Elephas maximus indicus: one gene and its partners. The protein of the gene in region 1 binds, or shares a complex with, the protein of each later gene. Links are inferred from orthologs where the notes say so. Each region holds a gene or a part of one and is shown in the gene's direction. Other genes may lie near its edges. The genes, in order: RBM15B, METTL3 and WTAP.

Region 1 (7,387 bases):
GCCCGGAGGTTAGCGAGTCCACAGCCCTCTCGAGCGGAGGTCCTCCCGCAGAAGAAGGTCTCTTTCGGCCATGCAAGGAGGGCCCAGGTCACCCGGGCGTAAAGCAGGTGGAACCCTGAGGCTGGTGGGGAAATCCGGAAATGGCTCAGGTGTTTGATCCCCCCCCTCTGCCCCCCAGCTGCTACTCAAAGGCTGATTCCTCCGCTCACGTGCTTGTTTAAAAAAAAGGAACGAAGCCTATTGAGCCTTCCGTGAGTCTGGGCCCTGGGCGAGGAAATTCCCGAAGTTTTTAGGGCGAGGTTAGAGCCCAGGGCAGAGCCCAATTCAGCATGCACTGGGCGGCACAAAATCCCACTTCCGCCCGGAACGCCCGGTTGCCGGTAAGGCCACTGCCCCTGTCCAAAATGGCGGCTCATCCCACTTCCGCCGCCTCCGCCGCTGCTTCCTGCGGAAGACCCTGGTTCAATCAGCGGCGGACAACTGTCTTGGGCCTAGGGCGGGCGGCGCTGCCAACCAATGGGGAAGGGTAGCGTGGAGCCGACCGTCTGGGCTCCGAGGCCCTTGGGCCAATGGGAGCGCGGCGTGTGGGAGGGCGCGATGGCCACCCACCAATGGGGAGCCGCGGCGCGCGGCCGGGACCTGGAGGCGGTGCAGCGCAGCGCAGCGCAGCGCAGCGGGCGCGGTTAGTCGGGCAGCGGCGGCGGCAGTGGTGGCAACGAAGGCGGAGGATGTGGGCCACGCACGGGCTGGCGGTGGCGCTGGCTCTGAGCGTGCTGCCGGGCAGCGGGGCGCTGCGGCCCGGAGACTGCGAAGGTGCGGCGGGGTCGAGTCCGCGCGGCGTGTCCAGCCTAGCGGCGGCCCCGACACCAACAAGACCATTGAAGGGGCGGGGGCGGCCGATCCCTGCGAGGTCCACCCGAGGAGGGGCAGACACTCCCGGGCCTACAGAACATTGATTGGTCCGACGGCCAAAAGTTGGGACTAGATAGCCCTGAAAACTTGGCTTGAAATTCCAATAACGCTGGAGTTCTTGTCCTTCCCATCACTGGTCAGATGCTCTCGGGAGCGGCTACTCCCGAGTCGGGGCCCCGTGAGTTGGGGTCAGGAAGCTGCACTACGGGGTTCGGTGTTGTATTTGGAAATAAGATGCATCAAGATCGTTTTTCTTCTTGGCCTCCAGCCTGTCCGTTTATGAGGTCATAGATCGTTTGTGGGTCATTGGGATGGTGATCGTACCCCACATGCCCCAGGTGGATCAGGGAACCCCAGCAACTTCGAGCCGGACTCTGTCCACCTGAGAAAACTCGGTGATAGAAACACGAACCTCTAGTGATTCATCTCCGTGCCTCCCATTAGAATTGCTGACAGTTACTTGTTGGTGGATGGGGGTGCCCTTGGTGGTTGCTGAGCATCTCCCTTCCCTTTTTTTTTTCCAGTTTGCATTTCTTATCTGGGAAGATTTTACCAGGATCTGAAAAACAAAGATGTTGCATTTTCACCAGCCACTATTGAAAAAGAACTTATCAGTTTCTGCCGTGAAGCAAGAGGGAAAGAAAACCGATTGGTGAGTAGCTGGTGACCCTCCCAAGCTGGTCCTGGCCCCTGTTTAACCCTTGGCTTCACAGGCCTCTTGAGAAGGCCCCACCCACCTGTGTGCTAGGAGAGCTGTCTGTCAGAACACAGAACCCAAGCACTTTCTGAAGTGTATTCTGCCGTTGAGATATCTTCTCCTCTTAGTATTTACTGAGCACCCACTATGTGCTGGTCACTGAGATTACTGGGGGAGAGATGACAGTTGGACAGACAAACAATGACTGGGCTGGATGCCATGAAGAGAATGGACCCAGGTGGTACAGTGGAGGGGGTGGTACTGATTTAAACAGAGTGGTCAAGAAGTAGCTCTCTGAGGAAGGCTCATCATTGAAGTTGGGGAAGAGCATCTCAGGCAGAGGGAACAGTCATTGCCAGTGCCCAGAGGCCAGAATGGGCTTACCATGTGTGAGGATGGAAGGAGAAGGTAATGAGGTGTAAACAGGGTCAGCCAGGCCCAAACTGAGAGCAAGGGCCCCTAGTGAAGCAGTGGCTTTTGTAGCTTTATTTACTTATTTATTTTTGGGTAGCATGTGGTTTGTCTGTTAAAAAGTTTGAACCCTGGTGACTTTTAAGCTCATCCGGTGGCCATCAGGTCTGGGACCAAACAGGTGTTAAGAGTCTGGAGTTTATACTGGCTTGCATCTGAGTGCCAGTGCAGGCAGGCACCAGGAAATGAGGCCCTGGCAGAGAAGGAAAATGTTCTGGAGGAGATGGCTCTCATGTGACATCTCCTGAAGGCTGTTGTCCTTTCTTGCTGCAGTGTTACTACATAGGGGCAACGGATGATGCAGCCACCAAGATCATCAATGAGGTGTCTAAGCCCCTAGCCCACCACATCCCTGTGGAGAAGATCTGTGAGAAGCTCAAGAAGAAAGACAGCCAGATCTGCGAGCTGAAGTATGGTGAGTGCTTTCCCGGCCTTATTTAACAAACACTGCACAGCTTCTGCAGCCAGGTCTCGTTGAGTTACTTTGTAGTTGAGGGGGCACATCATAAACTAGAGCCATGGTGAGTGGGTTATACGGTATGGTAAACATGTAAACCAGCTGCCATCGAGTTGACCCGACTCATGGCAATCTCATGTGTGTCAGAGTAGAACTGCGTTCTAGGGTTTTCAGTGGCTTGTTTTTCAGAAGTAGATCACCAGGCCTTTCTTCCAGTGCACCTCTAGGTAGACTCAAACCTTCAGCCTTTCAGTTAGCAGCCGAGCGTGTTAACCGTTTGTACCACCATAAAAAAAAACATAGATGGTGCTAAATGCTGGGGGAGGGAGGTGATCTGTTCATCACAGCAGGATGTCAGTGAGGAGGTGACATTTCGGCAAAGCTCTGAAGGAGGTGTGGGATTAGCATGAGGCTAGTTAGCGGATCAAAGTGGGGTGACAGATGAGTGAGCAGGTCTGAAAGGATTTGGGCTTCAAGTCTGAGTGAAGTAGGGACCATTAGAGATTTTTGATCAGAGAAGGAACATGAGCTGAAGACCCATTGTTCTTGTCCACACAGGCATGGCAAGCCCAAGAGTGGGGGAACCACAGCATCTCTTGTTGAGTCAGTCTGGTTGCACAAACATAGCCAGGCCTGTGTTTGAGTATGAAAGAGTCAGAGCCAAGGATAGTTGTCCTCTTCTGTGACGGCGCCAACATATTTTATTATGACTTGAACGTCCATGGGTCTGTGTTTACCTGCTTGTGTCAGGGATGCCTGGTCCTGAGAGTCATCCTGGTAGAGGTCCATCTGGGTCGTGGACACAGCAGTCATGGAGAATAGCTCCTGCCTCAAGGGCCTAACCAGACTGATGTTGGGAAATCAGGGCTAGGAGAGCTACCTGCTCCATCATAGCTTGGTACTGCCATTCTGCAGAGACTTGATCTCTCCTGTGACTGTGAGAGGCACTTGGGGTGGGAGCCGTGCTCCTCCTGTAAGGACCGTGTAGCCTCCATCCCTGTCCCTGGCAACACTGCGTGTCTGGTGGACGCTGCGACATGAGGCCAGCCTTCCTGATGAAGGGGCCTGAGCCTCTTCTCTCAGGGGCAGTGGGCACTGACACACCTGTATGTGTCTGGGAATCTCTCTCCCCCTACAAACCAGGAGGGCCGCATGTTCTAAGGGATAGGTTGGCCTTGCAGGAATGACCTGACCTGGGACTACTGTGGGGTAGTGGCCACTCTCACCAGCCGGTCACTCTCCCTGCTCTCTCCTCCAGACAAGCAGATCGACCTGAGCACAGCGGACCTGAAGAAGCTCCGAGTTAAAGAGCTGAAAAAGATCCTGGACGACTGGGGGGAGACGTGCAAAGGCTGTGCAGAAAAGTCCGACTATATCCGGAAGATTAACGAACTAATGCCTAAATACGCCCCCAAGGCAGCCAGTTCACGGACTGATTTGTAGTCTGCCTGACCCCTGCTGCACTGGAGGGGAGAAAAAAACAGTTCCTCTGTCTCTTCCCAAGCAGCCTTTTTGTAATTTATTTTTTAATCGGGCTCCTGACAATGTCAGGTATGAAGCCTGGAGCTTTCCTGATGATGCTGGCTCGACAGCACCCCTGTGGGGGGATTCACTTCATTCTGTTGCTGGTTTACTCTAGGACTTGAAAGTGTGTCTGGGATTTTTTTATTAAAGGAAAAAAATTTCTAGTTCTTGGAGAATTAACGCGAATATTGAAGTAGGGCTTCACTCCATAATGAGGACCTCGCCAGCAGATGCTTTCCAGTTTGCCAAAAATTTTCTAATATATTCCCACCTGTTCCTCAACCACTAACCAGTGTTGGAAGCACCAAGGCAGGACATGGGCTGAGGCCAGCTGACATGTGTTGGGTCTTGAAGGACTGGAGGGTAGCAGGCCCCCTCCCAGCTAAATGGAGCCTGGGGAGGAGGCTGGGCTTGGCACCCCACCTCCCAGTGTTTTACCCAATGAGAGGGGCTGGAGGCTGCACAGCTGTTGCTGGGAGGGTGCGGGAGTGGGGAGGGGAGAAATGAGTGTGATGAACATAGGAGGGGGTTTGCATTGGGTTCAGTATGAGCAGGCTGGAGGGTACTTGGAGTTTGGTTTTCTCTGATGGTGACTTCGAACGCCGTCTATTCAGTACTGACATTCCTAAAGGTACTCTTGGGCTGGCCACGAACGTGCTTGTCCGGGTCTGTGGTCTGGTGCCAGTTCCAAGCCTCTGATGCCTAACTGGGATTTTGCAAGACCTGCGGAGATTGATTTGAACAGAGGCAGTGGGCAGCTGCCTTTTGCCTTGTTTAACAGTTGAGATTCTGAGGACTTGCCCTCATGGTGTCCCCTGGAGTATGGTTTTTTAGCTGCTGTCTGTGTGGGGTTGGCACTTAGGAAACCCAGCTGCCAGCATGAGCTTGGCTCAGTGGAGGCACCTCTGCTGCTGTAGAGAATGCCTGAAGAGAGAATAAGAAGCAGTGCTTTCCAAGAAATGAGGTCTTTGGTGTCTAAGTTCAGTTTGCTTGAAGGGTGCTTCTTACTGCTTGGCAGTACACCTCCCACATTTTGTAGCTCTGCAATGGCACATGTGAGAGGAAGGGAAAGTTAAGGCACTTCTCAGGGCCCAGATCCCCCTGTTTGGGGGAATTACATGGGCTGTTGAGGTCTGACTAGCACAGTAAGTGTCCCCAGCCCCCCAGAGGTGCTGGGAAAGTGTGGCTGTAGCTGGTGGACTTGTCTTAGGCCACCACCCCAGATCTGATGTGTGCCTGCAGCCTCCGTGTCCTCCAGGCCACACTGAATATGGGAACAGAAAACGGAGCCTCACAGGCCCCAGGGTTATTTGTGGAGAATGTTGGTGTCGCTCTTTTTGGAAGCAGGTATTAAGAGACTATGCACCACTAAAGGTGTCCTGCTCCTACCCCCATCCCCTACTTTCCCCATCAGCCACTCCAGAGGCTGCTTTCTGGTTGGGAAAGAGGGAAAGCCTGAAGTGCAAGTTTCCTCATACCACAGTTTCTGTGGCTGAGGCTGCGTCAGGTTCAGCGATAGCTCCAGCAACAATTCCTGGAGAATGAAAGCTTTCCCAATGGGCTTGGGCACAAGGGAAGGAAAAGAGGCTCTGCCCTACAAGGTGGACAGGAGGGCACGGGCCAGGTGAAGTCAGGACAGAAGGCTCTGCCAAGTGCTGGAACTCCCTGCAGGTTTGGCGAGGCTCCTGTTTTTAGGCTCAGGGTAGCCTTGCCTTTTTAGCTCTTTGTCTGCCGGGAGGCCCAAAGCAAAGGGTGGGGCCCAGTGACGCCAAAGAGTTTATTTCGATCAGTGAAACGAAGGTTTGTGGGTCTGTGGTTTCTATGCCTGAACTCAAGACCGGCCTTGCCTCCTGCAGCCACAGCCATGGGCCACATGACCATTCCTGAAAGCGCTGCAGGTGAACCTGAGTGCGCAGGATGTAGGCTGTGGGCTCCTTCTGGGTAAGGGTATGCGTCAGCCCTCGGGCTGTCAACCTGGACACCTGGGTGGGCAGAAGTCACCGTGACGGGGATTAGGGGCGGCCTTTTTTTCAAGCCTAGTCCCGGAATTCGGGACCACCACGTAAAGAGTCTGCTAGGTCAAGGCCCCGGAATCCAGCACCCACGGAGGCTGCCACTCATGCTCCAATCAGCGCCGGCGACAGGAGACCAGACCCGGCGCGACATGTGAGGCCGACGTCCGGCCGGATTCTCTGGGACTCAAGGCGGAGCGAGTCAGCCCGACTGTCTCCACGGCTCTGATCGCTCTAGGTAGCCCCAGTCTCGGCCGCGTGGTGGCGCCAGAGCGCGCTCCTGGACCCCGCTTACCCACTGGCCGCGGGGGTCACGTGGTACAGACGACGTCGCCTGATGACGCACGCCCGGCGCGGCTTCCTCCCCGCCCGCCATGAGGTCACGTGACGCTGCCGGCGCGGCCTGATAACGCAACGTCCAGCCCCTCGGTGCCTCTCCCGCCCCGCCCCGCCGCCACCGCCGCAGCGAGTCCTTTTGTCCAAGATGGCGGCGCCGGGGGCGCTTCCTCCTCAGCCTCCGCCGCCGCCGCTGTGAAGGGGCTGCGGGCCGCCCGCCCGCCTGCAGCGCCAGCGCCATGAAGCGGCAGAGCGAGCGAGACTCGAGCCCGAGCGGGCGCGGCTCGTCATCGTCGGCCAAGCGACCGCGGGAGCGCGAGCGGGAAGCGGAGGCGGGCGGGCGGCGGGCGGCGCACAAGGCCTCGGGCGGCGCCAAGCACCCCGTTCCGGCGCGGGCCCGCGACAAGCCCCGCGGCAGCGGCGGCGGAGGGGGCGGACATCGCGACGGCCGCGGCGCGGGGGACGTGAATCACCGTGCGAGCAGCGGCCGCTCCTCCAGCTCGGGCGCCGGCGGCGGGGGGCGCGGCGGCAAGGCCTCCGGGGACCCGGGAGCCTCGGGCGCGTCACCCCGCGCGTCCCCGCTGCCACCGCCTCCGCCACCGCCTGGAGCGGAGCCTGCGGGCCCCGGCTCGTCGGCGGCCGCGCCCGAGTACAAGACGCTACTCATCAGCAGCCTGAGTCCCGCGCTGCCCGCCGAGCACCTCGAGGACCGGCTCTTCCATCAGTTCAAGCGCTTCGGCGAGATCAGCCTGCGCCTGTCGCACACGCCCGAGCTGGGCCGTGTGGCTTACGTGAACTTCCGGCACCCACAGGACGCCCGCGAGGCCCGCCAGCACGCCCTGGCCCGCCAGTTGCTGCTCTACGACCGCCCGCTCAAGGTGGAGCCCGTGTACCTTCGCGGCGGCGGCGGTGGGAGCAGCCGGCGAAGCAGCAGCAGCAGCGCCGCTGCCTCCACGCCGCCCCCAGGGCCACCCGCGC
Region 2 (7,829 bases), on another chromosome or scaffold:
TTTTCTTCTTTTCATTGCTTTTATTACTGTTTCTTTTCTCTCTTTGCCCTTGATTTATTCTTCTTAGAGCTTTTCATTTCTTCTGTCTTGCAACCTACCCTAGCCCCACCATTTCTCAGTCAATTACTCTTTATTAGGTCATCTTTTTAGAAGGTATATTAATCTACTGGAATGAGTATGTAAATGCAGCTTGCAAAACGCTTACTTTATGTGAAATAAACACAGTCCACTTCAACCTGGATTAATAAAAGCATCACTATTATAAGAAGCAAGAGACAGCTTCTTCACTCATTCAGTCAATTTTTGAGGATTTGCTTTGCTTCGGAGACCAGGTGTTTATTGGGTATAAAGGTAAATAAGACACACTTCTGTCCCTTGGGGAACTCAGTGTAGAAGGAGAGAAAATATATTTTTTAAATGATGATAGGATCCCAAAACACACGAAACTAGTTTTACTTTCAGTTAGACTCAACTTTGACTTGGTTTTACATTTTTTTGTCTTTTCTAACCTTTAGCTTAATAATAGTAGATTGACTAATCCTAGTGAAATTTTGCTGCCAATCAAATAGTAAACAGTATGGACAAGAAGAAGGAAAAAAAAAGTACAGCAATAGAAGTGTAGTATTTGGTCAGTAGTATTCGGAAACCCTGATGGTGTGGTGGTTAAGTGCTACAGCTGCTAACCAAGAAGTCGACAGTTCAAATCTGCCAGGTGCTCCCTGGAAACTCTATGGGGCAGTTCTACTCTGACTGAGTTGGAATTGACTTGACGGCAGTGGGTTTGGGTGGGCATTTCTGTAATCCAATGCTGTGTAGCATACCATCCCGAAATTTAGTATCTTAAACAATAATTATGTATTTGCTTATGATTCCATGAGCTGTCTGGACAGGGCTCAGCTAGGTTGGCTTGTCTCCATTCCATGTGAGGGCTGGGCTCACTCAGGCAGCTGCAATTTGGGCTAGAAGATTAAAGATGGCCTCACTCACTTCTGGACCCTCAGCTGGGATGCTGGAACCTCTCTCTTTTGCTGTGTCAACCTCCAGCATCCCTTAAGCGGTCTATCTATCAGGACTAATTAGGTCTATCTAACTGGACTCCCGGGAAGAGTTAGGGCTACAAGAGGGAAAAGCGGAAGCTGAAATGCCTCTTAAGGCCCAGGCTCTGGAGCTCAGGGAATATCACTTCTGCCAGTTTGTTGGCCAAGGCTAGTCACAATGCCATTTCAGATTCAAAAGGAGGGGAACTAAGCTTTAACTCCTGATGGGAAGCATGGCAAAGTCTCACTGCTTAAGGAATGGGAGGCATTATGTGGCTAGCTTTGGAAACAATCTACCGTAACATATATGAGAAAAAGGTAAGAAGTGCAATGCATGTAGTACTTATATGGTCACAACCAAGCTTCCACTCTGACTAGAAGAGGTCTGGGTGAGGTTCCCTCCTTTCTCTCAACATTGCACGGGATTGTAAGTGGGTGGGCTACTGGTGAGCACACAAACACCTGGCTTTCTTTAGAGTGGAAAACTGATCATAAGGAGTCTATAAAGAGTCCCTCTGTAAGCAGATAATGCTAAGTGACCCTCCTAGGCTCCTAAAATTTGCCTAATTTACTGTGGTAATACCCACTGCTGTGAGTAGATTCTGACTCATAGTGACCCTATAGGACAGAGTAGAACTGCCCCATAGGGTTTCCAAGGCTATATAAGTGTTTACGGAAGCAAACTGCGACATCTTTCTCCAAGGAGCAGCTGGTGGGTTTGTACCCTGACCTTTCGGTTAGCAGTGTGCCACTGGGGTAATAATTTACTCAATGAGTGTGTAAACAAAGACTTCTGGTAGCTGCCCTTGATTTGGTTGACCTCAATTTGGAGTACCTGTCCTACTTCTTTGGCTTCTTTTGCAGGTAAGAGGAGACAATTTAGGCCTAGGTATCCCAAATTCTACAAGAAATTGAGTCTCTCCCAGGAAAAATCCTCCCTTTCCTAGACAAAAAGTGCTTATAATGTTTGGGAGTTAACTTCTGGAATCCTGTTTTTAAAGTGAATCAACCCCCTTCATCTTCTGTGAGGCCATATCCAGTTCTCTTTCCCCCAAGACTAAACCTAACCGCTATATATTTTCTATATATTTCATTTCACATGTGTTAACAGCCTTGAAAGAAAGTGATCTAACAAGTAAGGAATTCAGTTTTGTGAACAATTAACAGTTGGGATTACCTCACTTTAGTAATAATACGTGTCTAACATAGGAGCACAAAAAATATGCAAGGATACACCCAATGAAAGAACAAAAGCAAAAAGAGGTCTTTGTCAACTTTCCTGTAGACAATTACCAGCCCCAAGTCATTAAAGGAAGCAAAACCCCTGGGTAGAGCAGTCGGCTTGAGTAATCTTGCATGATCTCACAACAGCCAACTCTCACAAGAGTATTTCGCTTTCAGGATTAACTAAACCTGAGGATTAAATGTCCAGAGATGTTTATAGGAGCCCATATTTACTTCTGTGACCTCTACCTCACTGCTCAGACACAAAGTTATGCACCTCAAAAGACAGTTCCCTACTAAGTAAATTCAGAAAAGGAGATGGAAATATTTTGATCACTACTTAATCTGTACATTACCTAGCACATAGTAGTCATTCAATAAATACTTGCCATATAAATGGATAGGACTTCACATTCCAGTACACACACATCTTCTCAATAGCCCTCCTTCATATTCACCTCTTCCTTTCCGTTGCTACCCATAGCCAGCCTTTGAGTAAGTTGAAGGTCTTATAATCAAGCAATTAGTCCTAAAGGCTACTAACCATTTTCCCTGTGTCTTAGTTACCTAGTGCTACCATAACAGAAATACCACAAGTGGGTAGCTTTAAAGAACATTTATTTTTTCACAGTTCTGGAGGCCTAAAGTGCAAATCAGCTCTTGGCCATGTTGATTTCTTTTGTGAGCCTCTCTCCTAGTTTCTAGCGTCTGCGAGCATTCCTTGACATTCCTTGATGTTCCTTGGCATCTATCTTCCCCGTGTGTGTTTCTTTGTCTACTCTGCTCTTTTTATAATTCAGAAATGATTAGATTTAGGACCTACCCTACTCTGGTATGATCTCATTAACGTAATAAAAGAAAACCTTATTTCCAAGCAGGATCACATCCATAGGTACAGCCAAGCAGGGCTTCAATATATATTTTAGGGGACACAATTCAGTCCATAACACTCTCTCTCCAAACTCTCTGTCCTCCCTGCCTCAATCCATCAAGAACACAAGATTATTTTAAAGCACTCCTTATTGACAAACTCTAAATGTTCCCTATTGTATTCTGAATAAACTGCAGGGTTTTCTGCAATCTGGCCTCCAATTTGGAAACCTACATTTCCTCTTAATATTCCTATATATAAATCTCAATGTTCTACTGAACTAATCTGGATTAGCAGAACATACATCATGTTTTCTAACACTAGTCTAGACTTCTGTTTTTATCACGTCTTTGGCTTGGAATTCTCTCCTATTGTCAGTTCAAATCTGAACCTTGATGCCACCTTCTTTCTAATGATTTCCCCAGTAATCTGAGCTTTGAGTCCTCCCTTTTCTTTGCGATCACTTTTCTCTTGTAGAGCCTTTGCTCATGCTGCCTATGCTGAGTCTTAACTCCCTTACTAAACCAGAAAGTCTTTGAAAACAGGAGCGATGCTTTTCAAACTATTTTTCAGACACAGTGTTTGGCATCATGTAGGCATTTTACAAATATTTCAATTCAGAAGACCCCCCCCCCTTTTTTTTTAATTGCATTTAAGTTTACTAGCAAACGGAGGAAACCCTGGTGGCATAGTGGTTAAGAGCTAAGGCTGCTAACCAAAGGGTCGACAGTTCGAATCTGCCAGGTGCTCCTTGGAAACTCTATGGGGCAGTTCTACTCTGTCCTATAGGGTCGCTATAAGTCGGAAACGACTCGACGGCACTGGGTTTGGTTTTTGGTTTTTTGGATGCAAACAGAAAAGCACGTACCAAAATGTCCAATTCAATTAATTTTCACAAACTGAACACACTCATGCAACCACCAGGTCCCAGAATAAGAAACAAGTAATCAGAAACTCAGAATCTCCCCTAAACCCAGAACCCAGTTGCCATCTAGTCAATTTAGACTCACGGTGACCCCATGTGTGTCAGAGTAGAACTGAGCTCCATAGGGTTTTCAGTGGCTGATTTTTCGAAGTAGATGGCCAAGCCTTTCTTCCAGGATGCCTCTGGGTGTATGTGAACCTCAAACCTTTCAGTTAGCCACCAATCCTATTACACATGATACAGATTTGGTATAAATGAGAAGAGTGAGAATATGTATTTGTAGTCCCCTCATAACATCTCTGCTCCGCAAGCCCTTCCCCTCCAACCCCAAAAAGCGCGAATACAGGGATAGCGAGAGAGATGGAGGACGAGAGGGAGAGGTATTACTTTATAAATGAATGTATGCAGACAAAAACCTACACTTTGAGTGGAAAAGGCATGTTAGTACTAAACTGTTAAAAGGCTAGTGATTCTTCATTTTAAAACTCTGTATTGCACGTGCAATTCTAATAGAGCTGTCATCAACATAGGTCAACTCGCAGAACTCATCTAAAATTCAACATGGATGCATGCACGTCTATAAGCAACATGGTCGCTCTGCCAGCCACCAACATGGCAGCCGCGGCTTCACCTTACCCGGAAGCCTGAGAAAGCGCCCACAAAGAACGTATATACACTGTATCTGCCACTCTGCCAACACCTAAGGTGGCTTTAATTTCAGCTTCAAAGCGAGCGCGAAACCGGAAGTGGCTTTTTCTTCTTGCACAGCTCCGGGAATCCCTTTCCGGTGAGCCTTAGGGTGTCCGCGTTGGAATAGAATATTTCCTGAAAAGAGGGCTGGGAGGTGCTTGTCCACCGCGCCTGATTCGAGACGCGTCCGCGCTGGGAGACTAGGATGTCGGACACGTGGAGCTCTATCCAGGCCCACAAAAAGCAGCTGGACTCGCTGAGGGAGAGGTTGCAGCGGAGGCGGAAGCAGGACTCGGGGCACTTGGGTGAGGCGCGGGGCTGTCGGGGCCGATGCCCCGCCGGGGAGGGCGGGAGGGACCCCTAAAGAAGAAGACAGCTCCCAGATCGGCGCCCTTCCCCAAGCCGCCATTTCTTTCCCGCCTAGTCCATTGACAAGTCCCTCCCCTCAGGCTCACAGACTCTTCGCCCTACTGCAAGTAGTTCACGGTCGCTCCCTATCCCGAGTCTTGGTTCCTTCAGCTCCCTTTTCCCGGACGCCCGAGCCCCACCCTCTGCCATCCAGTCGACTTCTCATCTGCGATAACTTCGCCTTTGGGATACCTCTCAGGCCCCTACCCCGCGAATCGTGACCAGCAAGCCCCGTTTCCTGGTGTTTCCTTGGCACTTTGTTCTTCCCGCTGTAGTCGTCACTTCTTTGCGACTCGACACTGCTAGCAAGGAACTTTATATCTACCGTGCCCAGTTCATGGCCCGCGCCAAGTTGGCACTCGGTGTTGCTAAATAAGCCGGAGCCCTGGAGGCACAGTGGTTAAGCGCTGGGCTGCTAACCGAAAGATAAGCTGTTCGAACCCACCGCAGGAAAAAGATGTGGCAGTTTGCTTTCTGTGAAGATTACTGAGAAAACCAAACCCTTTGCCAGTGAGTCAATTCGGAGTCATAGCGACCCTTTATGGCAGAGTAGAACTGCCCCATCGGGTTTCCAAGGCTGTAATCCTTATAAAAGCAGACTGCTGATCTTAGTTCCGCAGAGAGGCTGGTGGATTTGAACCTCCAGCCTTTTGGTTGGCGGATGAGTGCTTTGACCACTGCGCAGCCAGTGCTCTTTTCTGTAAAGATTACAGCCTATGAAACCCTCTGGGGCAGTTCTACTCTGTCCTACAGGGTAGCTATGAGTCGAAACCAGCTCCATGGCAGCGGGTTGTTTTTTGGTTGCTGAATGAGTGGGAGATCTGGCACTGTCTTAGTCATTTCCGTAGTCGATTGTGACTCTTAGCGACCCTATAGGACAGAGTAGGACTCCTCCATGGCGTTTCCAAGAAGCCGCTGGTGGATTCAAACTACCGACCTTTTGGTTAGCATCTTTAGCTCTTAAACACTAGGCCACCAGGGCTTCAGTTATTTACATCCCAGACAAGAACCTGAAAGCATTTGTTTTTGGTTTTTAAACTTTCTACCCTCTAGTTGTCCCCTGTGTCACAGTCATAAACCTGGAAGGGACATCAAAAGATTATCAAGTTTCACCCTATCTCCCACCCCTGCACAAGCACTGAACTATTTAAGGTAAATCATTTATGAAGATGTACTAACATAGTGAATCCATTCTATCTCTGGTGTTTTGTTCCAGTGTTTATTAGTATGCGGGAATCTGTCTAAATCTTGCCTAGAGGCATGTTAGGTCCATGTGCTCATATTCTGGCACCTGGAACTGAAAGATCCTCTGGCAGGATTCTCATAAGTAATAACATCAAGAAAGTACAGTGTGCACCAGTCTAGTTAGACAAAAATAAGACGTTTTTCCTGCATTCAAGGAGTTTAAATTTTAGTTGCGGATAAAGGATGGATGCTTATAAAAAGTCAGAAATATAATATATGTAAAGCACCAAGTGAATGAATGAGTACAGCCAAGGGAGAAGTAACAAGACCTGGTTTAGTCAGTGAAGGACATGGTGGGGGAGTTGGCACTTGAATTTCCAGCTTTGAAGGCTATATAGGACTTAGGTAATTAAAGAGAAGGTAAGAGGGAGGGGCGAGGAGAGGCAGGAGTGCAAGTCCTATGATCAGAGGATAAATAGTAGTTAGGCATTGGAGTAGGTACTGATTTACCCAAGAGCAAGAATTTTTTTCTTGATCTATAAACTTCAACTCCTTTGACTTGTTGTAGGCCCAGTTTTCTATTTTTTCTTATTCTTTCATTCCCGTCTTTGTTTTGTTTGTTTGTTTGTTTGGTGTGGTAAATATATAGGTAACAACGCATTTGCCATTTCAATGGTCTTCACATGTATAGTTGACTGTCGTTAAATATGTTCATCATGTTGTTTGACCATTACCATTCCCGAGTTTTTCCATTACCCTTAATAGAAGCTCAGTGCTGTCTTAGAACTTTTTATTTTACGCACTTCAATTTTATATGGAAAATATGACTCTTACATCTCTTTTACAGGCAGCCCCCAGGTTACGAACGAGCTCTGCTCCTAAATCTGTATTTAAGTCGAGTTTGTACGAAAGTCAGAACAGTTAGGTATGGTTGGTATCTAATGTCAGTTAGTCAAATGTTTGTCTTAGCATATAGTATATAGTGTACCTTTCAACGCATAAAAACATTAAAGAAACACTTCCATATACATGGAAACCCTGGTGGCGTGGTGGTTAAGAGTTCATCTCCTAACCAAAAGGTCAGCAGTTCAAATCCACGAGGTGCTCCTTGGAAACCTTGTGGGGCAGTTCTGCTCTGTCCGGTAGGGTCGCTATGGTCGGAATCGACTCCGTGACAATGGATTTGTTTTTTTGGTTTTCCATTTACATTAAAACATCTTTAACATGATAATGCAGTAGTAATGATAATGTTTTGATGCATATCGAAAAGTAGCGCCCATTTGTTATTACGAACCATTGTATGTAACTCAAATTTTTAATATAATAGTCTTTACAGGTGTTGGTTCATAACTACAGATTGTACTTAAGTAGGACATTTGTCACCTGGGGACTGCCTGAATAGACAAATGACTCAGTTACTGCTTTTTTTTTTAAAGTATGGCAATTCTTTTACCGTTCTGGGGGCTGGAGGTCTGAAATGAAGGTGTCA
Region 3 (7,546 bases), on another chromosome or scaffold:
CTCAGACCAGTTAAGTCTGGTCTTTTTTTTGAGTTAGAATTTTGTTCTACATTTTTCTCCAGCACTGTCCAAGACCCTCTACGGTGACCCCTGTCAGAGCAGTCAGTGGTGGTAGCCGGGCACCATTAGGTCGTGCTGGGCTCAGTCTGGTGGAGGCTGTGGTAGTTGTGGTCCATTAATCCTTTGGACAAATCTTTCCCTGTGTCTTTGGTTTTCTTCATTCTCCCTTGCTCCGAGACCAGTGGAGTATCTTAGCCGGCCACTCGCAAGTTTTTAAGACCCCAGACGCTCCTCACCAAAGTAGAATGTAGAACATTTTCCTTGTAAATTATGCTATGCCAATTGAGCATTGTTCCCCGAGACCACGGTCCCCACAACCTCAGCCCAGTCATTCGGTCCCTCAGGGAGTTTGGATCTATCTATGGAGCTTCCATGACCTTTAGGCTGAAATCTTTATGGGAGTATTTTGCCAGGTCTTTTCTCCTGCGGAGTAGCTGGTGGGTTTGAACTGCAGACATTTTGGTTAGCAGCTGAGTGCTTAACTCAGGACTTTCAACCGGTTCGTTCTGGTTCACCTCCCTCCTGGGAATTTGCATTTCTAACAAGTTTCCAGGCAGTGGCAGTGCTGCTGGTTAGGGACCAATTCTGAGCACCATACATGAGAATTTATCATACATGAGAATCACCTGGGGACCCTGTTAAACTAGATTGTGATTCAGTCTGTCTGGGGTGGAAATGCAAATTCTGAGCAGGGGTTCAAATCTGAAGGAAGCTGTTCAAAGCCCTGGCTTAACCATTGCACCACCAGAGTTCCTTCCTCCTATCACCCAGTGCCCAGTGCCCTCGACTTACACTAAATTTTATCACATGGTTCCGGTGATGGCCACTAGATGGCTCCACTATACAAGTGTACTTTCCTCTTTATAGTCAAAGGAGTAACCTGTGGGGCAATACTTGGGCGCAACTTGGATATTCTATTTCCCAGCCATTTTTCACCAAAATTTTGATCCATTGGTAATCCTTGCCTAAATCAAATATTTCATTGAGGGCTGCATAATGGTTATTTTCTAATTATATCATTTGTTCTACATTTATTAGCTGGCATCCTATTGTAAAGGGTTTTTTTTCTCATCCACTGGGGATGAACCTAGAGCTTTGAGCCAGTTCCTTCTGGTTCGAACTCCTGCTGAGAACTGCATTTTTAACAAGTTCCCAGATGATGCTAATACTACTGGTTAGAGACAAAAAAAAAAAAAAAACCCATTGCCGTTGAGTTGATTCCGACTCATAGCAACCCTACAGAACAGAGTAGAACTGCTCCATAGTTTCCAAGGAACGCCTAGTGGATTTGAACTGTTGAACCTTTTGGTTAGCAGCCGTAGTTCTTAACCACTACACAACCAGACTTTCCACTAGTAGAACAGTGACTCCCAAATTTTATCATATATAAGAATCACCTGGGGAGCTTGTTAAAGTGTAGATTGTGATTCAGCATATCTGGGGTGGCAAAGGAATTTGCAGCAGGTGTTCAAACCGGTTGAACTAGTTCAAAGCACTGCATGAACCACAGATCTCCAGGTGTTTTAGTTACCTAGTGCTGCTAAAAAATTCCGACTCATGGTGACCCTGTACTGCTGCTACAACAGAAATGTCACAAGTGGATGCCTTTAACAAACAAATTAATTTTCTCACAGTTTAGAAGGGTAGAAGTCTGAATTCAGAATGCTGGCTTTAGGGAGGCTTTCTCTCTCTGCCGGTGCTGGAGGAAGGTCCTGGTCTCTTCTGAGCTTCTGTTCCTAGGCAATCTTCATGTGGCTTGGCATCTCTCTCCCCCCATCTCTGCTGCTCACTTGCTTAATTTCTTTTATATCGCAAACGAGATTGACTCAAGGCACACCTGCCTGAAACAGTCTCAGTTTTAGCATGGAAAGTCCAGCCTCACAGGAAAATCTTTAGTCCTGGGCAAACAGGGACAGCTGGTCACCTGAGTACTTCTAGCCTCTTTCAGTGTACAGAACTAGAAATTTTATTTTTTTAATCATGTGTTCAAATTGATATTTCCAATTTAACATTACGGGACTTTTCTGAACTTTTGACATTGTATCTTTTTTTTCTTGTACTGAAAAAAACCCACCGCCCTGGAGTCAATTTGGACTCATAGTGACCCTATAGGACAGAGTAGAACTGTCCCATAGAGTTTCCAAGGAATGCCTGGCAGATTTAAAGTGCTGAGCTCTTGGTTAGCAGCCATAGTACTTAACCACTACACCACCAGGGTTTCCTCTTGTACTCAAAGTCTTTTTATATAACATTTTATGTTATCACACAACACACAGTTTCAAAGGCACAGTAACAAAATTACAACTACAAACCACTGAGTGAAGCTGAAGATTCCCTTTGCTGTTCTTTTTCACTCTTAGAATATATCCCAGCAAAGACATACTGTGGGAATGCTATGGTCAAAAGTCCTGGGGGGGGGGGGAATCCTTTTCTCTTTGTAACAGTTACCACCAATTTGAAGTTAGGTTCATTTGTTTCAACTAGCTTTCAATTTGGGGGTTTACTTTGTTTCCTGTTTTACTTTTTAACTATGTAAAAATGTTAGAAGTTCAAAGTCAAGAGATGTCTTGCCTCTATCTCTAATCCCTTTACTTCCTACCTCCCCCACCCTCTATAGATAACTTTTTGTTAGTTTCTAGGGTCTCTTTTCAATTTTTTTTTCCTGCAAAATAAAAATGTGTATGTGTGTGTACAAATGCCAGCCAGTTTCCTATTAATGGACACTCAGGTTATTTCCAAACTTTAGCTATGATAAATAGCACTGCGGTGAATGAAACCTAAACCAAACCTGTTGCCTGGGAGTGGATTTAGACTCATGGTGACCTGACACGTTACTGAGCAGAACTGCTCCATAGCATTTTCTTGCCTGTAATCTTAACGAAAATAGATTGCTAAGCCTTTCTTCTGCAGTACTGTTTGGTGGGTCTGAACCACTAACCTTCAGTAGTCCAGCACCAACAATTTGTTGTTTTTATTGGCGGAGATGTATCTTCAAAATAGTCCCTGGGTGTTGTAAAAGGTTAATGCACTCAGCTGCTAATAGAAAGGTTGGAAGTTTATGCCCACCCAGAGGCTCCTGGGGAAAAGGGTGTGGCGATTTAGTTCCGAAAAATCAGCCACTGAGAAAGAACCCTGTGGACCACAGTTCTACTCTGACACACATGGGGTCACCCTGAGTCACAGTGGAGACCACGGCAACTGGACTGGGATCTTCAGGATAACTTTAGGGTTAGAAGTGGAATTGCAATAAGGATAAATGTACATGTACTTCTGGTACTCCACAAAACATGAATCATTTTCCATTCCCAGTTTCTCCACAGACTTGTAACTTTAAGGCATGTGACTTCATGTGCATTTTTATACATGAGGCTGAGCATCCTTTCATGTTTAAAGACCATGGCTGTTCTTTTTCTATGAACTGCCTGTTCATGTCTTTACCCGTTTTTCATTCAGGACTTTGGTCTTTTTCTTTTGTTTTTAAGAGTTCCTGTAATGTAGTTTGAAAATATACTCTCCAGTCTGATCTGATCTGCTGGGAATATACCATGACTCCTTTAACTATCTAGGGTGTACTTTAAACTTAGCCTCATAAGACACTTCATTCCAGGACACCTTCTTCGGGGATCAAGAGTTTTGGTAGAGCCAGCTATGAGCACACCAATCAAAAGAACTGCCTGACCAGTCTTGTGTTTGACTATTTCAAATCTTCCAGGTAACCACCGTTCTAACTAAATAGGCCAGACGCTTAAGGAATATATTTACATTACAATACTTATTTCCTCGGATGCACTAAAACCTCACAGGGCTCGCCTTGCCCTCGTTTCTGAGCTAGCAAGCTGCCCCCAAAGCTGCTGACACCCGCAACAACCTCCGTCGGCTACAGAACAATAGCTCCTCGGCCTCTCCCCCAGGGATGTCAAGGCGGGGACGAACCAAACGGCCACGCGGCTGCATTACACGATGAGAGAAGGGCATCGGTCTCTTACGGCCTCAAAACAGAGCGTGAAGTTTAGCGGTGCCGATTTCCCTGCCGGCGCTCACACAGCTGTCCGCCGGTAGCCTCCCTCCTGAGCCCACACCTGGCCGCTAGCTCGCGGAAGCGTCCCCAAGCGGCGCTGACACCCAAGCCGCGCTGACACCCAAGCGGCCAATCACCGCGCCGCCGGCGCCAGATCCCTCCGCGGAGCTACGCCGCACCCGCAGGTGGCAGCGGTGAGCGCGTCCGCCGCCGCCGCCGCGACCCCCGCCGCCCTTCCCGTGATGCTCCGCGGCTGACCCCCAGCCCCCGCCGCGCCGGCTCCCTCCCCTCCCCGCCCGGACTCCGGCGGCCGCGGGACACCTGATAGAGCCGGACGGGCCGCGAGGGAGAGCTCTGCCGTCGGCGCCTCCAGGCCCAGACTCCGCCGGGGCCGCCGCTCCTCGCCCTTCCTCCCGCCGGCGGGGCGGCGCGGCGCGGCGGGCGGGCGGGCGGGCGGACGGTGCAGCGGCGCCCGGGAGGCAACCTGTGGTGAGCGGCGCGGGCGAACATGGCGGCGCGCGGCCGATGGGGCGGGGCGGGGCGGGCGGCGGGGGCGGGGGCCGGCCGCGCTTCCTCCCTCAGCGCCATTTTGTGGCAGCGAGACCCGCAAATAAAGGGGCGCGCGGGCTGCGGCGGCGGAGGAGCGGCGGGGCCCGGCCGCCGCGGTGCGAGCGCGGCCTCGGCCTGGGCGACGGGCCGCCTGCGGAGGTAGGTGCGGCCGCGGGCGCTGCCGCCGAGCCCGAGGTCGGGGCGCCGGCCTCTCCGCCGCCCGGCTGGGGAGCGGCGCGCAGGCCGGGCAGCTCGGGGCCCGGCCGCTGGACGCCGGCCTCCCTTGGCGCTGCCCACTTGGCGCCCCGAGGCCATTTCCCCGTCCTCGCCGGGGCCCGGGCGCGCGGTCGGCACGGAGCCGGGGCCGCCCTGGTCGGACCTCCCGCCTCCCTCGGCCATTTGTGCCGGGGGAGAACCAGCCTTGGCTCTTGCAGCGCGCATCACGCAGTAGGTCGTGGCTGCAGGGACAAGGTCCGGGAGGGTTCCATTTTTAATGATTGGCATGCATGCTGGGTAAGGAAACAGTTCTTTATTGAATTATTTCGAGATTTTAAGTCTCACCTTGGATTCCCGGAAGAATGTTACTAAAGGATCTTTTTACCATTTTTTATGAGTCAGTGGGGAACATATAGCAGAAAAGCTTAAGTTCTTGTTTTGGTGATAAAGGAAGTTAATTGGATGTTTGATCCCAAAGGAATTATGTTACAATCCGAATTTACCGTGATTATAAAATTAAAAAACGATTATTTCGCCCGAGGTAGAAAAATATTTTGACTAGCATGTTATAATCTCGAGATGTTTTAATACCTGTTTTATTGTTTTCCGTGCTTTAGAATTTAGTTAATTGCATTGCTGAGGAAGCCACTGGTCTATCACCCCCATTAAACTAGGTGCGAAAGTCTTTTTAGGATTGCTAAATTTCATTTATTTAATCGTGTTATTCACTAACATCTGATTAGGCAAGTTGGGGATAGAGATTGCAGCCCACAGCATGGCTTGCCGACAAAGTCGATGCTGAAATTTAAGGTTTGGGTAGGTGTGTTTCTAGAATGCTTTTGGATCTTGCCTTATCTTGAGCTGAAAGCTTAATGATTGGGATTTGCACACACACCTCAGTGGGGGGAGGGGAGCTTGAGTCCTTAAGGACGAAAGTACTAATGCTAGTGTGTCCCAGGCACTGCCGATTTTTACCTGGCTCATCTAATATTTTTTCATCTAATTTATAGAAATCCGTGGTATCTAGCTTTCCTAATTTTGAGTCATGTTTGCTCAAAATACTTCGGTGTTGTGTTGGTCAAAAATGAGTTGGTGTATATGTAGAAAACCTATGGTAATCTGATACTGAGATGAGTTGTAATAATTACATTTTTATAGCACATTACAGCTTTCAAAGTCCCTTACAGTCTTGCATGTATGTAGTATAGCATTTGTTTCAGAATATTGTTTACTTAGTAATCTTCACAATTTTTATAAGACCAAACCCAAACCCATTGCCATCAGGTCGATTTTGACTTGTCCAACTATGTATATTATTATCTTGGAGTCCTGGTGTCACAGTGGTTAAGAACTCAGCTGCTAACCAAAAGGTCGGCAGTTTGAATCCATCAGCCGCTCTTTGGAAACCCTGTGGGGCTGTTGTGCTCCACGCTGTAGGGGCGCTATGAGTGGAAATTGACGTGACAGCAGCAGGCTTGTTTTTGGTTTTTTATGGACCACCTTAAATTTTGTTTGTGGATTCTTTAGCAGAACAAAACCTACCTTTCTTAAATGGACGTTAAAGTTGCCTTTTATGTTTTTATTAGTATTTTTTTTTTTAGAAAAATCCCTTGTTTGCGTAGCATTTTTATGGCATTGCAAGTGTTGAGATTTGTAGCACTTTGTGTGGTAGGTAATATTTGTATCTTCGTTTTAGCTGATGTGGAAACCGTAGCCCAGAGAGGTAAGTGATTTGCTCCAGATCACATGGCTGATAGATACAAGAGTTAGTAAAAGATATCTTCCAGTTCCCAAGTGGTGTCCTTTCTACTACAGTGCCAAGCTCCTGCAGGACATTGGCTTTTTCTGTTCAGTTGTGATAAACTTCAGCCATCTACAGACTTCTTATTGAAGTTGCCTTGGCTGGTCTGCCTTTCTGTTGAGAGAGAAGAGCCAGGGAACTTTTGAGATCTGGGATGCGAGGCAGCCAGCCAACCAAAGCTGGACTCCCATCCTAAGCTGTTTCTTAGTGTTGAGGCATCAGGAGTAGATGGTGGTTCTGACATTCTACACTTGAGGTATATTATATCTGACTAAAATAACAAGCCTTTATGTAATTTTAAAACCATGTTTTAACGAATTATCTTCAGTTGCTCAAAGGTAGGTAAATTGGCTAGCTTTGATTTTTTTTCTGTTTTGCTTTTCTTTACCTCCATTTTCTCTACTTCAGCTAGCTAAATCTAATCATTATTGGGGATAGGCAGAGTGGGAGAGTTATCATCTTCATCGGTTACTTATTTTTTATCGTGGTAAACATATAGGTAACAAAACATTTGCCACTTCAACAGTCTTGGCATGTGCAGTTCAGCGACGTTAAATATGTCCGTTATGTTGTTCAGCCACCGCCATTAACCGCTCCATCAGTTACTAGGTCTTAAGAGGCAGAGTCCTAACCGCCGATTTATTAATGAATAGCTGTTTTAACCTGAGATAATCACCTAATAACTCAATCATTTTATCATCTGGAAAATGGAGGGTAACATTGATTTTGAAAAATTGTAATTGAGACTCATAAGCACTTCATTTTTCATTTCTATATTCTTCATTTTTTCCCTTCAAGATTGAACTCCAGATACCTGTTAGATTAATTTTATTTCATTTCAGTTATTCCATTTTTGTGATCTGAATTCTTTGTTAAAAAGTAAAGCTAGACACCTAGAAGAT

The links.
Region 2: RBM15B (region 1) and METTL3 share a complex: the UniProt entries of both Homo sapiens proteins name them as parts of the WMM complex. The link is inferred for Elephas maximus indicus from reciprocal best matches to the Homo sapiens genes RBM15B and METTL3.
Region 3: RBM15B (region 1) and WTAP share a complex: the UniProt entries of both Homo sapiens proteins name them as parts of the WMM complex. The link is inferred for Elephas maximus indicus from reciprocal best matches to the Homo sapiens genes RBM15B and WTAP.

The regions. Positions count from the first base shown.
Region 1 is NC_064838.1:55,572,016-55,579,402, forward strand, and holds the start of RBM15B (putative RNA-binding protein 15B), read left to right. Parts: upstream 1-4,315; 5' UTR 4,316-6,648; coding exon 6,649-7,387. Other genes in the region: MANF (mesencephalic astrocyte-derived neurotrophic factor), read left to right, coding at 729-813, 1,437-1,564, 2,354-2,495, 3,796-3,980. UniProt on the Homo sapiens protein: RNA-binding protein that acts as a key regulator of N6-methyladenosine (m6A) methylation of RNAs, thereby regulating different processes, such as alternative splicing of mRNAs and X chromosome inactivation mediated by Xist RNA.
Region 2 is NC_064828.1:31,865,260-31,873,088, reverse strand, and holds the start of METTL3 (N6-adenosine-methyltransferase catalytic subunit), read left to right. Parts: upstream 1-4,789; 5' UTR 4,790-4,952; coding exon 4,953-5,052; intron 5,053-7,829. UniProt on the Homo sapiens protein: The METTL3-METTL14 heterodimer forms a N6-methyltransferase complex that methylates adenosine residues at the N(6) position of some RNAs and regulates various processes such as the circadian clock, differentiation of embryonic and hematopoietic stem cells, cortical neurogenesis, response to DNA damage, differentiation of T-cells and primary miRNA processing.
Region 3 is NC_064819.1:232,092,966-232,100,511, forward strand, and holds the start of WTAP (pre-mRNA-splicing regulator WTAP), read left to right. Parts: upstream 1-4,536; 5' UTR 4,537-4,567; intron 4,568-4,686; exon of another isoform or gene 4,687-4,786; intron 4,787-4,875; exon of another isoform or gene 4,876-7,546. UniProt on the Homo sapiens protein: Associated component of the WMM complex, a complex that mediates N6-methyladenosine (m6A) methylation of RNAs, a modification that plays a role in the efficiency of mRNA splicing and RNA processing.